2 linked regions of the Rhinolophus ferrumequinum genome follow. The protein of the gene in region 1 binds, or shares a complex with, the protein of each later gene. Links are inferred from orthologs where the notes say so. Each region holds a gene or a part of one and is shown in the gene's direction. Other genes may lie near its edges.

The links.
Region 2: MYO7B (region 1) and CDHR5 share a complex: the UniProt entries of both Homo sapiens proteins name them as parts of the IMAC/intermicrovillar adhesion complex. The link is inferred for Rhinolophus ferrumequinum from reciprocal best matches to the Homo sapiens genes MYO7B and CDHR5.

The regions. Positions count from the first base shown.
Region 1 is NW_022680440.1:608,139-615,432, forward strand, and holds the start of MYO7B (unconventional myosin-VIIb), read left to right. Parts: upstream 1-4,196; 5' UTR 4,197-4,343; intron 4,344-7,294. UniProt on the Homo sapiens protein: Myosins are actin-based motor molecules with ATPase activity. Their highly divergent tails are presumed to bind to membranous compartments, which would be moved relative to actin filaments.
Region 2 is NC_046294.1:368,647-376,080, reverse strand, and holds the start of CDHR5 (cadherin-related family member 5), read left to right. Parts: upstream 1-4,421; 5' UTR 4,422-4,518; coding exon 4,519-4,573; intron 4,574-4,664; coding exon 4,665-4,840; intron 4,841-5,186; coding exon 5,187-5,237; intron 5,238-6,433; coding exon 6,434-6,526; intron 6,527-6,631; coding exon 6,632-6,733; intron 6,734-6,815; coding exon 6,816-6,926; intron 6,927-7,020; coding exon 7,021-7,191; intron 7,192-7,434. Other genes in the region: SCT (secretin), read left to right, coding at 2,115-2,194, 2,308-2,409, 2,523-2,627, 2,812-2,932. UniProt on the Homo sapiens protein: Intermicrovillar adhesion molecule that forms, via its extracellular domain, calcium-dependent heterophilic complexes with CDHR2 on adjacent microvilli. Thereby, controls the packing of microvilli at the apical membrane of epithelial cells.

The DNA.
Region 1 (7,294 bases):
GAGAAAATAACCAAATTTAATACATACATATGTATGGGAACCCTGCATACATGATAGAATCAGAGACGCTATAGGCAGGAGAGGTTCAGAGAAAGAAAGGCAGATTGAGGTATAGAAGACATCCTGAGCTAGGGATGAGGTAAGGTGCCTTGGGGGCTTCCAAGGTCATGCATGATGACAAGAGCAGACCTTTAGTAAATAGAAGTGTGCCCTGCCTTGTAGACAGGTCAAAAGAAATTGCCTCTGATACTCTCTTATGGGCAAGGCCTCTAATTCAAATTCTTCCAGGTAGTTAAGGGGGGTGGGGTTTGCAGAAGTTTCTCTTGAGCCTGCAGCTCAAAACAATGTGCACATTACAGAGGCACATCTTCGGGTGACTCGTTCTGGACCCCACACCCTCATTCCATGGCCACTCCTGATTATAAATGAGGCCGGAAAGAATGCCCCAGCTGTGGGACCAAGAAGAACAGGAAACTGATCTTGGTGCACACAGAGCATTCCAGCCAGGGGTAAGAAACCCATCCGAATGCTTCTGTTCCCAGAAATGAAGCTCTTAGCAGTGCACTTTCACCCTCAACCTCTCCGAAGCACTAAGAGAGTACCATTATCACCATTACAATCAGAACCTTCAGCATCTTCTACCTGGTTTGCTGAATTTGTCACAGAATCAAGTTTTGCTTTCCCCTCCCACTACCTCAGTGTCACCAGGACAATCAGATTAGTCACCAGGAAGCCATGGGCCCTGCTCATGGGCAGAGGCCCTGTTTATGACTAGGGTCTAGGTTTCAGTGCTAGGGCCCAAGGCTGAGGGGTATTCAGTGATTGCCCATAGCTCTTCAGAGAGGACAAAGTGACTTTGCCCCTCCTGCTGTCTTGGACAAACCTCTGGGTGGGTTTCTCAGAGGGGTTATGGTGATAAAGCACAATCAGAAATGAGTCATTTTCTGCTGGACTTAGATGGCCTTCCTGACCCGTCAGGACTTTGGAGCCAAGCTCCACCCAGGCTGACGATGACTATGGCACAGTAGCTGCTCTGGGGGATGAAGTACCGGGCTGGAATGGCATGGTCCTTTCCTCGGTGTGTCAGAACCAAGACCATCTGGAAGTACTAGTCCAATAGCCCCTTCCCTGCACCTTCCATATCTTCGAAGCCATATCTTCCTGCCATTCAAGGAGGCAAAGGAGGACATCCCTTTTTGGCCCTTGCTGGCTTCCTCTTCCTCCAGCCTCAGTTACACCTGGACCTGTGAGGTGTACATTGGTTCTCAGCCTGGGGTCATCTTATCTCCCAGGAGACATCTGGCAATATTTGGAGACATTTTGATTGCAGTACTGGGGGAGTACATTGAGTAGGTAGAGGCTGTGGGTGCTGCTAAACATCCTATGATGAACAGGACAACTCCTCCCAACCCCTCAGCAAACAATAAACTAGTCCAAAATATCAACAGTGCCAAGACTGAGAAGCCCTGCTTCTTTCCAGATACCCCTCTGCCTTCACACTGAAGACCACGGAAATGGAAGGGAAAGGGCTTTCAGACCCTGGGCTGGGGTGAGCAAGTTGGGGAAGCATCTCCCCTGAAAATCTCTAACGTTAGGATGTTAGGTGTGGGGGGATGGGGTCCAGTTGCGTTGAGGGTTGGTGCAACACAGCGCAACACAGCGCAATGATCACCGGCCGTGGGGACTGATGGACCTTGAGTTAAATATTGCCCCCCACTTTTAGCTGTGTGACCTAAGCAAGTGTCGTAACCTCTTTGGTTTTTACTTCTTACTGTGAAATGAGGATAACACCCCTCATTTGTAGGATTTTGATGAGGGTTGAATGAGATGGCACGTACAAAGAGCCCAGCACGTTGAAGGCACTCATTAAATCCTAGTCCTGTTTGAAACTGAGAATTCTAAAATTCTGTAAATAGTAGCTCAGTGAAAGAGATCCATGCTGGCAGCTGTGCTATTTTATAGTGTTAATGGGTAACTTGGCAGCTGTAGGCTAGATGGGAAGATAAGGGCCACTAGGAAGCAAGGAAATTCAGGTTGCTCTATGAATTCAGAGCTCAAAGGAAATGCTCGCTATGCTCTGTTTCAGTTGCTATGACAATGCCAAAATGGGCTCCATCGTTGGACAAAAGTGGAATGAAACATATGTTGTTCCATGGAGGCATTTTGTTTGCGTTCAGAAACATATTTTTAAAGGTTAGCAGAATATTCACATCTGGAGGAAAATTGTGGAGGTAGCATTAGGCTGTGGGAGAGCCACGTTTGGTCACAGTGGTGACAGGGAGGAGCCTATGCTGCCTGCCCCTAGCCCCTCTTCTTGGTTTTCATGGCTTGGGGAACCTCAGCCTCTCTTGGACTCCAGGAGAACTGCCCCTCCAGGGGTCCCCCTCTGAGCCACTGCCAGCTCAGGTCCTTGCAATTACATGTGCACCTTTTGCTGGGAGGAAGGACTTAATGTACCACTTAGGAAGGGTTGGCAACAAAATGTTCCTGCCCTTGTTTCAGTAAGTTCCCCTCTCGAATATTGCTGTAATGATGTAGTGCAAACAAAGCTGTGAGCACACATTGTTCACTGCCGTGTTGTGTGTGACATGTGTTGTATGTGACAAAGGGTTGGATGCCTCATGATATCCACAGATAGTCACACAAGTGAAGGAGTGCTTGTTGGAGGGGCTATCGCACTTTCTTTAGAGACGGCGGTTAAAGTTCAGTACAGTGTAAGAAGATTCTTTATGATATAATGTCAGATGTAAAAAGAAGCAGGAGACTCTAGATATCTGAAATGTGTTTCTATTAAATTTTGCCTAAGACAAGCTCTGGAGAGAGACCTGTTATACATCGCTTGTTCCACACAGATATGCTGTCCCACTCTTCCCCCCCCCGCCCCGCCCTCCACAGGAGCAGTGGCAGAGGGCTGTAGAGGACCCAGCTGGTACCCAAAGTCTCAGGGTAAGGGGCTCACCATTTCTATAGCTGTCAGGAGCATCAGTGCCAATCCCATGGGCGTGAAATGGCATCTTTCTAAACCAGAGAAGCCACGTGCTATGTGAAGCCCCAAAAAGCAAATATTGGCCCAGGAACTGGTGGGATGTTAGGGGTTAGGAGGCTAGTTGGAGCCGGAGTGGAACTTGAGCACAGTGCTCCTGGTGGGGAGCAGATAGGGCTGGAGGAAAGGCTCGGGGCACAGCTCCTTTCAAATGCATTGCCCTTCATTAAGTCAGCTCCCAACTACTTCTCTTCTTTGTCATGGCTGGTTGCTTGTAAGAAACTGAAACTTCTTCACCTGTCTCAACAAAACGAGCAGAAGGAAGCTGGCAATGCCACAGAGCCCCTCCTCACCCACCCCCAGCAGGCATAGGCCTCTGGCTCTCTCCAGGGCTCCCCCTCTGTGGTTCTTCTCTCTCTCCCACTAGCGCTTAGTTGCTGTCCCAAAAAGAGGCCTAAGGTCAGGGGTGCCACCTTGCTGTGGCCTCAACTCTATCTAAAAACAAAAGCTAGATCCCGCACCTCTGCCTGCAGTTCTCAAGTCTCTCCCATGTCCTGGGAAAGGGAAGGAACCTGCTTGGCCATCTGCAGGACCGCTGAGGCCTCTCTTCCCCAAGAAAAGGGCTGCAGCAAGCAGGTGTCTTCACAGCCCATGCAGTCACATTTGCAGCGACTACCTGTACCCTGAAGTCTGGCCTCTCTCAGGGCACATTGCTCAACACCCTTTCCCTCAGAAGGGCTTGTATGTGCCTCACAGCGAAAATGTCCCCTTCACTCAAGTCTCAGGGCAAGCTGGCACCCCTGCTCCCAGGGACCCCACTGGGAACCCCATTGCCAGGTAGTCTCTAGCTCTGTGATAAAGCATCCTGACTTCCCCAGACGTCTCCTGCGTGTGTGCCTCAAGTGAGGACATGGGGGCTTGAGAGCAGAGCTTCTTCTGGTGGCTTCCTTACAGTCCTCATGACACCTAGGAAAATGCTGAGCTCCCTGGATGATTTGCTGATTGTCACCAGGGACTTTGCTGATGCCAGCAGCAGCAGATATGTGAGCAAACTCTGATGGCGTTGGGGGAGTCTGCCGAAGAGGCCAGGGTTAAAGATCAGAGCTCTGTGAGTCTCTGCTGGCTGGGGCTGCAGGGGACTCCTGGGAGTGGATGTTCCCGGAGCCCAAGGACAAAGTCCTGTAATAAATTACGTTTGTCCCCGTGCTCCTCGGCCATTTCCTCCTGGGGCCCTTCCGCCTCTCCCTTCCCTCCCTTACTCCCCCACGTACCCTGAGCCCTGGCCTTGCCTCACGTCCTGCTCTTTTGCAGTGCCTAGGGGAGTGGAGAAGCGAGTCAGCCAGACCCCAGTACTGACAAGGTAAGGGAGTGCCTGGGGCCTTCTCTGCCTGTCAGATGCACCAGGCCTACAGGCCCACCTCCTGACAAGTAGGAAGACAGAAGGAGTGGGTCACCTCTCTGGAGGAGGGTCGCTGGGCAAGTGGAGGGTTGGGAGACGCAGATGCAGGGAAGTGCTGCAGAGCTCAGCTGGAGACAAGGTGGGATAGTCCTGCAAAGGAGAGAGCTGGAGATTCCCTTTAGGAGCCTGGAAACCAAAAACCCCAGGCCAGCGTCTCGGCCCCTCAGGCTGAGGGCCAGCCTGACAGCAAGGAGGAGGGCAGAGAAACTGTCCTGGTCTTCTGCTGCAGGAAGACAGACTCAGGGCAGAGGGCGATGGCAGGTGCCCGGGCTTCCCTAGGCCCAGCAGCCTCCTCGGCAGGAGGGCCTTGCGGTCAGATCAGGGCCGGGAGGCTAGCCCCGGTGCCATTGACGGGCACCTGGCAGACACCACTGACGGGCACCTGGCAGAAGCCGGCAGCCACATGTGCACACTCGCAGCTCAGTGGTGTTATTGCCTCCGTTTCACAGACAAGGAGCCTGAGGGCCATGGAAATTGAGGTGCCCACAGGAAGGAGCAGAGCTGGGGCTCCACCCTAAAGCCCAGTCTTCTCTGAGTCACATGCATGCCTTCCTGGACAATTGCTATGATTGACTTAGTCACGTCACCCCAGGAAGGCCTGAGCCCCAGGGTGAAGCAGGACCCTGCCCTCCTGTTCTCAAAGCCTCCTCTGGGTGGGCTTTGCTTGTTGGGGAAAGGGGTGACTGAGGGGAGGCTGCCACTGCAGGCTCCCAGAGCTGCCGCCACCGATGTCAGCATGTGGGTATCCGTCCTGGTCCACAAGGAGGAAAGCTGAGACACGGACATTGGGAGGCACTGGCCAAAGTCAGGCTCCTGGCAGCTGTGGGATCCCATCCCAAATCTCCTCAATGGGTGTGTTCCCTACAATTAGACCTCTTCCTCAGGTTCCATTCTGTAACTCTGGACTTGAATTTTATTCTAACCCATAAAACTCCTGAACTCGAAGAAAACCAAACGCTGTGTGGGTCTCTCTGGACCTGGAGCACACCCCCAATGGACCACTCAGTTCCCCACACTTCCGGCAGGAGGCTTTTCCCATCTCTTGACCCTCTGGATGCCTGCTGGCTGGCCCGGGGCCTCCTCCTGGAGTACCTACTCCCTGTTTGTCCATCTTGGGCCCTGCTGCACCCTTGTGGGAGGGGGGACTCTGGGGAGAAGTGACAGCAGGGACAGACATTTCCCAGGTACCTAGATGCATTTGCATAACTCCATGCTTTTCATCTCTTATGAAGGCTCTTCCTTCCCTTCTCACTCAGTCCGTATAACAAGCCATTTGGGGAGAAAGAACAGTGTGTTTTTTATTGAGGAGGACACTGAGATGAAGTAGGGTAAAATGCTTTGCCGAAGGCCACTGGGCTCTGAGCACATGAAGGTGCGAGCTGATCTCCTCAGGATCTCTCTCTCTGGTTTCATTGCGCCCGCCCAGGGCATGGCCCAGAACAGGCCCTCAGCACCTCGATGTCCAGGGAAGGATTGGAGTAGTTTATAGCAGAAGTGAAGCTAGGAATGAAGGCAAGGTTCTAATCCAGGGCCATTTGTTTTATTATTTTTTAAGATTTGTATTAAAATATACCTAACATGCAATATTATATTAGTTTCAGGTGTAAGCTATAGCTATTCAACATTTATATTTCTAAAGAAATGATCACCGTAAGTCCAGCAACCATGTAACAGCCTCTGCCTGCCGTTCCCAAGTCTTGTTTTTCATCACTTTTTGAGTATTTCTTGCCAATCCCTTCTGGCCTGCAAAGTTTCTGTTGAATCAGCTGAGAGTCTTACAGGAGTTTCCTTGTAGGTAACTAACTGCTTTTCTCTTGCTGCTTTTAGGATTCTTTCTTTGTCTTTAACCTTTGGCATTTTAATTATGACGTGTCTTGGTGTGTCTTTGAGTTCATCTTGTTTGGGACTCTCTGCCCTTCCTGGGCTAATATATCAATTTCCTTCACCAGGTTAGGGAAGTTTTCCATCGATATTTCTTCAAATAGGTTTTCAATTCCTTGCTGTCTCTTTTCTCCTTCTGGTACCCCTATAATGCGAATGATGGTACGCTTGATGTTGTCCCAGAGGCCCCTTAAACTATGCTCATGTTTTTCGATTTTTTTTTTCTGTTCTGATTGGGTGTTGTCTGCTACCTTACCTTCTAAATTGCAGAATTAGTCCTCTGCTTCATCTGATCTACTGTTGGTTCCTTGTAATGTATTCTTCATTTCAGTTATTGTATTCTCTATTTCTGATTGGTTCTTTTTGTATGTTTTCTATTTCCATTTTTATGATTCCTATCTCTTTGTTGGAGTTCTCCCTGAGGTCACGGGGCATCCTTATAACCAGTGTTTTGAACTCTAGTAGATTGGTTGTCTCCATTTTGTTTCATTCTTTTTTTGGAGCTTTGTTCTGTTCTTCTATTTGGGACATGTTTCTTGTCTCCCCATGTTAGCTGCCTTCCTGTGTTTGTTTCTATGTATTAAGTAGGGATGTTATAGCTCCCAGTCTTAGCAAAGTGGCCTTATGTAGTAGGTGTGCTGTGGGACCCAGTGGCACAGTCTCCCTGTTCACCTGAGCCGGGTGCTCCACGTGTTGCTTGTGTGGTTGGGTGTGCCCTCCTGTTGTAGTTGAGCTTTGGTTGCTATTTTCTCATCAGTGGGAGGGATTGACCCTCAGGCTGATTGGTTGTGAGGACAGGCTGTGACTACAGTAAAAGAGCTGTTGTGCACGGACTGACACTATGGAGCAGGATTCACTTAGCAGGGCTGTGGTGCCTGTCCAGTGTGCCCATTGAGTGTGTTGTCCTTGGAAGTGTTGTCCTTTGGACTCCAGCTGGGTCCAAAGGTGGCCACTGGGTGTGCACCCCCAGA
Region 2 (7,434 bases), on another chromosome or scaffold:
TGTGACCACATGCAGTGTGACCCATCGCTCTGGCTGTGATGTGACCACAGAGGGGCAGCATGAGGGAGTTGTTTGCGGTGATGGAGTTGTCCTGTATCCCGATTATGGTGCTGTTTACACGGATCTGTACATCTGTCAAAATTCATTATTTTACTATATATTAACTTTACTGTATGTTAATTTTTAAAGCCCATTTTATTGCGTGTTAATCTTTTTTAAATGGGAAGATTTTTCTTACGAAGATCTGCCTGGTTACTTAAGTGTTTGAGGTGCTAAGAAATTCAACCAATTAAATTAGTATTTGGAGCTTGGAACATTCTCATGAATGCAATTCATCAGTCAATGGTATTAAAGTTTAGAACATTTCAATTTGCCAAGTTTGTGCAAGAACAAGTCACACCATCTGTTTAAAAACACATGCAAAGAATCATCAGCGAGGGAGCACAGCACACCTACCAGACGGACCACAACCCAGAGCCCCAGTGACACTGAGTGCTGGCTGGGAGGACGTGGGGCCACAGGAATTCCCACCACGGCTGGTGGGGGGTGTGTGTGCAGATGGTGCAGCCACTTTGGAGGACAGGGTGGCAGTTTCTTACAAAACCAAACACACTCTTATCATGTGATCCAGCAATCGTGTTTCTTCGTATTTACCCAAATAAGTTGAAAGTCACGTCCCCACTAAAACCTGCACACAGAGGTTTGTAACAGCCTTACTCAAATTGCCAAATCTGGAAGCAACCAGGACGTCCTTCAGTAGGTGATGGATGAATAAACTGTGGGACATCCAGACAATGGAATCGAATTCAGTGTTAAAGAGAAATGAGCTCTGAAGCCAGAGAGGACATGGAGGAAACTAAGTGAAAGAAGCCAGCCTGAAAAAGCCACATGCTGTGTGATTCCTGAGGTAGGACATTCTGGAAAAGGCAGAACTATGGAGACCGTAAAGATCAGTGGTCGTCACAGGTTGGGGAGGAAGGAGAGATGAACAGACGGAGCACAGAGGTTCTTAGGGCGGTGGGACTAATCTGTGTGAGATTGATTGTGGGTACATGTCACTGTACATCCTGTCCAAACCCCCAGAATGTACACCACCAACAGTGAGTCCTGATGTCAATTATGGACTTAGGTAATAACAATGTATCAATACCGGGTCATCAACTGTAACAACTGTAACAAATGCAGAACACCAATGCAAGATGCTGGGACGAGGGGAGGCTGGGTGTGTTTGTGCTGGGGGAACTATTGCAGCTCAATTTTTCTGTAAACCTAAAACTGCTCTAAAAAAGTCTACTAATTATATTTAAAATGCACGTAAAGTTTAACACAAGAACTAGTTTATAACTTCATTGACTAGATTTGTGATTTCTATTTAAGGATTTAATGCACACAGGAGTTTAAGAAGCCTAGCTTTACTTAATCCCTTATTGATTACGCAGCAGGAACCCAGCTGCCTCCCCTTTCCTCCCCTTTCCGCGTCTCCACCTCCTACCGCCCCTGAAACAGGCTCAGGTCTCCCCCGTCTCGAAAAACAAATGGCGAGGCCCCCAGGCTCGGATCTGCGCCCTGCCTGCAGCTCCCCTCCGCGCCGCCCCCCCACGGGGAGTGGCAGTGAGGTCACCGGTCCGCGCTCGGCCTTCCCTGACGCCGCCCCCTGCCCAGCCGCGCGCACCGTGTGCCGGGGCCTCTCCAGAGGAGCCCGCGGCCTCGGGTCGCCTCGCGCTCTGTCCCAGCCTTGACCCTCCTGAGCTCATCTCCGAGGCCCCCGGCCCCAGGCTCTGCACAGACGTTCCCGCCGCGCATCCGCGCCACCGCCCCGCCCGGACGTCCCTCCTCCCGCCCCGGCCCCCGCGTGCCCGCAAGTCCACGTCCGGCTGAGCCCCGCCAGCCCGCCGAGGGGCGCCGACGCGGCGCTGGGGGCGGGCGACCAGCCGGGTTGACAGCTGGGGGGGCGGCCCTGACCTTCCCGCGGATCGATGGGGGAGCGGCCCGGGCTGCGTGGAGCCAGGGCGGTGCTGACGCCCCCGCCCCCCGCCCCCCGCCGGGCGCCGCTATAAAGGGTGGCGCGCAGCTCTGGCCGCGGCCGCAGCGCTTAACACCCCGGCGCGCCCACCATGGCCCCCCGGGCCCTGCTACTGCTGCTGCTGCTGTCTCCGCTGCTCCAAGGCTCTGCCGGGCGCCCCGCGCCCCCCAGGTGAGCCCAAGGTCCCGGGGCCCACACAGCCCCTTGGGCCCGCCTACCGGCCCTGCGTCCGCCCCACCCTTGCTTGGCCCTGATCCGCTGCGGCGCCGTCACCCCCTCCTCAGGGCCCCGCGACACTCGGACGGGACGTTCACGAGCGAGCTCAGCCGTCTGCGGGAGAGCGCGCGGCTGCAGCGCCTGCTCCAGGGACTGGTCGGGAAGCGCAGGTGAGGTCGGGCCTGGGGCCCCCCTGAGGGGCAGGCCCCGCATGGGGCTGTCCCTCACGCAGCAGTCTCCACCCCCAATTCCACGACTAATTCTGATTTGGGGCGGGGGGCAGCGAGCAGGACGCGGAGAACAGCACATCCTGGACTGGGTCTGCCACCGAGCCTGCCGAGGTCCCCCTCTGCCTGCTGTGGTCCCATTCTCCTGCCCTGCAGGCCTGGTGAGCCCGCCCCCCTCACCAGAGCTCCGCCCCGACCGTCCCTCTGGTCCCCTGGGGCACCCCGTGTCAGCAGTGGGCCAGGGGTGGGGAGAGTTAGCGCTGGTGACCCAAGGAGGCCGGTTCACCAGGTGGGCAGGGGTCTCCACCTTCAGGCCCACAGCCCCTAACCCAGCTGTCTCTGCAGGATGATGGCCCTGAGGGACCCCCTGAATCAGGCCTGGTCTCCCCGGCTGTCTCTTGGACTCAAGTCTGGGGTCATGGTTTCAGAGCCGGCCATCCCTGCTGAGACCCAGATGACGTCCTGAGGAAGAAGGAACCTCCCCTCTTCTGACGGGGGCGCGAACCTGGATGGGGCAGGGTTGGTGGGAAGGAGGGGGTTGCACTTGGCACCAATAAAGAAGGAATTCAGACCCTGGCCTGGCGAGCGCGCTGTGTGCACCGTCTCTGCCTGCGCTGGGAGACAGCCTGCTGGGCAGAGCTCACAGGGGAGGAGGTCCTGCCCGGGAGCCCAGCAGGGGCCACGCCCAGCTGCCCTTTAAACCAGAGAAGACAGTGGGCGCCTCACCTTCCCCTTTCCTTATCTCTGGCATCAGGGCCACTTCCTGTCCCATCGACTGCACTCCCCAGGGCCCCGCCCGCACCCCTTGTCATCCACTCAGCAAACATTCAGGGACTCTGAGGGGCGGCTCAGGACGTTCCCCAGTTCCTGCCCCAGCTGCCATGTGCTAGGTGTGTGGAGCAGGTGGGGGGAATTTTAAGGGGGGTGACGAGGCTCAGGCTGGGCAGGAAGAGGTGACAGGCAGTGGGGCTGTGTGTGTAGGGGGTTACCAGGAGGCTATGAGTCCACTCTGGAAGCCAGGCGTCTGGGCTCTCTGTCCAGGGTTGTGGTCTTGGACAAGCGGCTCAACCATGCTGAGCCTGTGGAGCAGGGACAGTAATGACACCCCAAGAAGTGCTGGGGGTGCAGGAGGCCGGTTAGGCACATGGCAGGCAGAATTGCTGTCACCAGCAGAGAGAACAGGGAGAAGAAGCAGGTGCAAGGATCTGAAGGGGAGAAGGGCCGCCCCACTGTCACCCAGCCCCTTCCCTCCCTCCTGGACTTACCGAGTGGCCTCTCCCTAGCCGCTGGGAGCCTCTCCAGAATCAGCCTGCTGTCGGGCACCAGAGCTCCCGGGGACCCGAGGTGCCCCTGAAGCGCTGCCATTTCCATCACTGTGCCCCTGCGCAGCCCCACCAGGAGGGAGCTGGCTGATTTCCAGGACAGGCAGGTGTGTCCCCAGAATACAGCCTTTTCCTTCCAGATTTAGATGGTCAGTGTGGGAGAGGAGACGGGACTGGAGGGGAACCTGAGGTCCGAACCACGGGGCTGCCTAGGACTTTGCCCCAACAGCATTCTGGCGGAAGAACCCAGCAGAGGCATCTGGGGTGGGGACAGCATAGCAGACAGAAGCCAAAGGCCAGCCCCTTCCCTGTCCTCAATCCCCCAATCCTAGATTCCCTGAGTCCCTAGCCCCCTGCCCCCAGCTCTTGCTCAGCCCCTCTCTTCGGCCCCCCGCGGGCACCCCCACACCCCCCACCCCACCCAGGCCCATGTGTCCTGAGCATTCTGTGAGCTCCTTTCCACCTCATGTCTTCGTGACTGTGGGTTGAGCCCCCGTTGGCACCTGCATGTGGCCCGGCTCCTGCCAGGTAACCACAAGGCCTCCCCCTCCTAGGCCTGGCATGGGCTCGGCCCGCGGGAGCCCCCCAGGTGGAGGCCAATCGTAAAGGATCATAAAGTGGGCGGTGCCGGGCAGGGGTAAAGGTCGTCCCGGCAGAGACTGCCACCAGCACAGGCTACTCAGAGGGTCCCGGTCGCCAGCCGGGCTTAGACTCTCCCGCTGGCCCCAAGATGGGGTCTTGGGTCCTGCTGCTGCCGCTGCTCACAGCCGTAGCCCAGGCCCAGGGTACATGCGGGCTTGGCCGGGGCGCGCGGAGGGAGAGGGGGGCGGGCGGCAGGCAGGGGTTGAAAGGCACTGACCCTTCTCTACTTTCCAGTTTGCTCTGTGGACAATACCTTCTTTGAAGTCCAGGAGAATACGGAGCCTAGTGGGCCCTTGGTGGACATCAATGTCCCTGAGGGCCAGCGCGTGACCCTCGGACCCTCATCCACCCCCTTCGCATTTCGGATCGAGGGCACCCAGCTCTTTCTCAATGTGACTCCTGACTATGAGGTACAAACGGCAGACCAGGGAGGGGTGGGCCGGTGGGGTGCCTGGGGCCGCCAACCCCTGTGGGACCCATGCAGAGAAGGGTTTTTGGGAGTCCTGAAGGCTCTCTGTCCCCCAGGTAGTGACCAACCCCTGTTGGGCCCCAAGGCTTGGTTGAAAGCAAACGCGAGGGGCCAGGGCCCTTGGAGGACAAAGCTGCCTGGGTCCCCAGTGCGCTCTGGACTTAGCAAAGATGACGGGGACCTTGGGCGAGTATCTGCCCCTCTGGCGCTGTGCCCTCCCCTGAGGGATGAGAACAGTGTGCTGTGACCAGCTGCACAGGTGCGCTGACACCTCTCCGCCCCCACAGGAGAACACAATACTGCAGGCACACCTGGAATGCAGAAGGGGTGACACCGTGGTGAGTCAAGCCCAGCTCTCTACTTCCTGGGCGGCCCCCACGTCCCCTCCCTCACCCTGTGACGTCAGAGTGCTTGGACCTCTGTGCTCTGCCTGTCCAGGGTTCCTCCCCAGTGACCTCACCCAGTGGTGTGTTTTCAAGTGTCACTCCTGTGCTGGTGATGCCCACACTTCCTCCAGCCCAGACCGCCCTGAGCTGCAGACTCGCAAACCCAGCCACCCTGATAGGACATCACACCCCCAACCCGAGACCCCATCTGGGGAGGCGCCTCACCCTCCAGCTCAGTCCTGTCCTCTGCCTGCCCCACGTCCTCGTATCAGCATATCTGCTGGCTGGGCCTCAAGCTGGGCCTCCTGCCTCCTGACTCAGGCGCTGGCTACCAGCATCTCCTTTATGGAACCTTCCAACTGGTCCACTCGCTGCCCTCTCGGCCCCACCCACCCCAGTCCACTGTCCGTGTGGCAAGAGGAGCCAGCCCGTGGAGCCCTGCCCAGAACTCGCGAGATGTTGTGCCTCGTCTGTCACTCAGTTGTCACCCCCTGACCTTATTCTAAGTCGCAATGCTACCCCCTCACCCCACACACCTTAGCCCCTGACCTTGACTCACCTTTTATGATGGGAAGTTTCAAAGGCACAAACAAGGGACAGTGTCCCAAGCCCCGTGCACCTGCCAGCTCTGCAGGGAGCCACTGAGCCCTGTGGGTGCCCCGCCTACAAACATCTCAAAGTCACTAAGATAAGGACCCTTCTTACACATCACACGCCACTGGTTCACACCTGAGAAAAGCAGGGACTCGGCATCACAGGACACCCTGGAGATATCTGGTCAGAGGCTCTGTCACAGGTGCAGCAGGGTCACCCTGGGCAACTGGTTGATATTTCTCTTAAGTCTCTTTCAATCTTTGGGTCCCCTTTCTGTTCTCTTTTTCCTTTGAGACTTAGGTTTTGGGATATTTGACTGCTCTTCTGGTCCCTTCCTTGGGGCTCTGGCAACCCAGCACCCGCGTTCCTTCTCTGCAGGGCACTCGTCACCTTCCACACTTTACAAATGGCTTTTTATTCTTTGTCTGGAACCCCTCAGAGCAGAGGGCTTGGCCTTGTGATGTGCCCAGCACCTGGGATGAGCGGGGTCCCCCAGGGTGCCCCTCTGGGGGGGACCTGTGGGGAGAAGGCTGACCTCCACCCCGGACCCCCAGGTGACCCAGCTGCGGGTATTCGTGTCCGTGTTGGACGTCAACGACAACCCCCCTGTGTTCCCCTTTGAGGTCAAGGTCGAGAGGGTGCCGGAGGTGAGTGTGAGGGGAGCCAGGGCCGGCACTGGGGGCATAGAGGGCTAGTGGGGGCTTGACCATGGGGCTGGGTCCATGGCCAGAACCACCCCCTGCGGCTCCCAGGACACTAAAGTGCACACCACGGTCATCCCTGAGAAGGACCTGGAGGCCCAGGACCGCGACAAAGACAACATCTTGTTCTACACCCTCCAGGAAGTGACCCCGGTCAGTCTCCCTGCCCCAGCCCCAACTCCCCCCACCACTGGCGTCCTCCCAGGGTCTCAGGATGTGCCCTCCACCTCCCCAGGGGGCCAAGAGCTTCTTCTCCTTGGTGGGTGCAAACCGCCCTGCCCTGCGGCTGGATCGGCCACTGGACTTCGACAAATGGCCGCACATGACCTTCCAGCTGCTGGTGCGGGTAAGCAGGCCACCTCCACTCTGAGTCCCGGACCCCCACCCACGCTACCCCAGCCCTGGCTCCCGGGCTGATTGGCAGGGCTTGGCTATTGCAGGACACCCGGGAGGAGAACGAGGTGCCCAGCCACACGGACAACGCCACTTTGGTCCTGGAGGTGCAGCCGGCCGACCTGCGGCCTCCCTGGTTCCTGCCCTGCATCTACTCTGACAATTATGTCTGCGTCCACGCCGAGTATCGTGGGGCTATCCCCACAGGCCACAAACTGGTACTGGGGATAGGGAGGGCAGGGCCACGTCCCGAGCTGGGTCAGGGTCAGGGTCAGGGTCTGTCGGCACCGGGGGTGGGGCCTGGGTGCCATGCAGCCAGTTCTGTTGTGATTTTCAAACAAATGTGTGAACATTCCCTTGTGCTCCAACCTTGCTCCATCACTGTGGTGGTGAGTGGCCAGCAAACTCCTCTGAGATTAGGATAAGGGGGACGGCCCAGCTGTCCTGGGGGCACAGCCAGG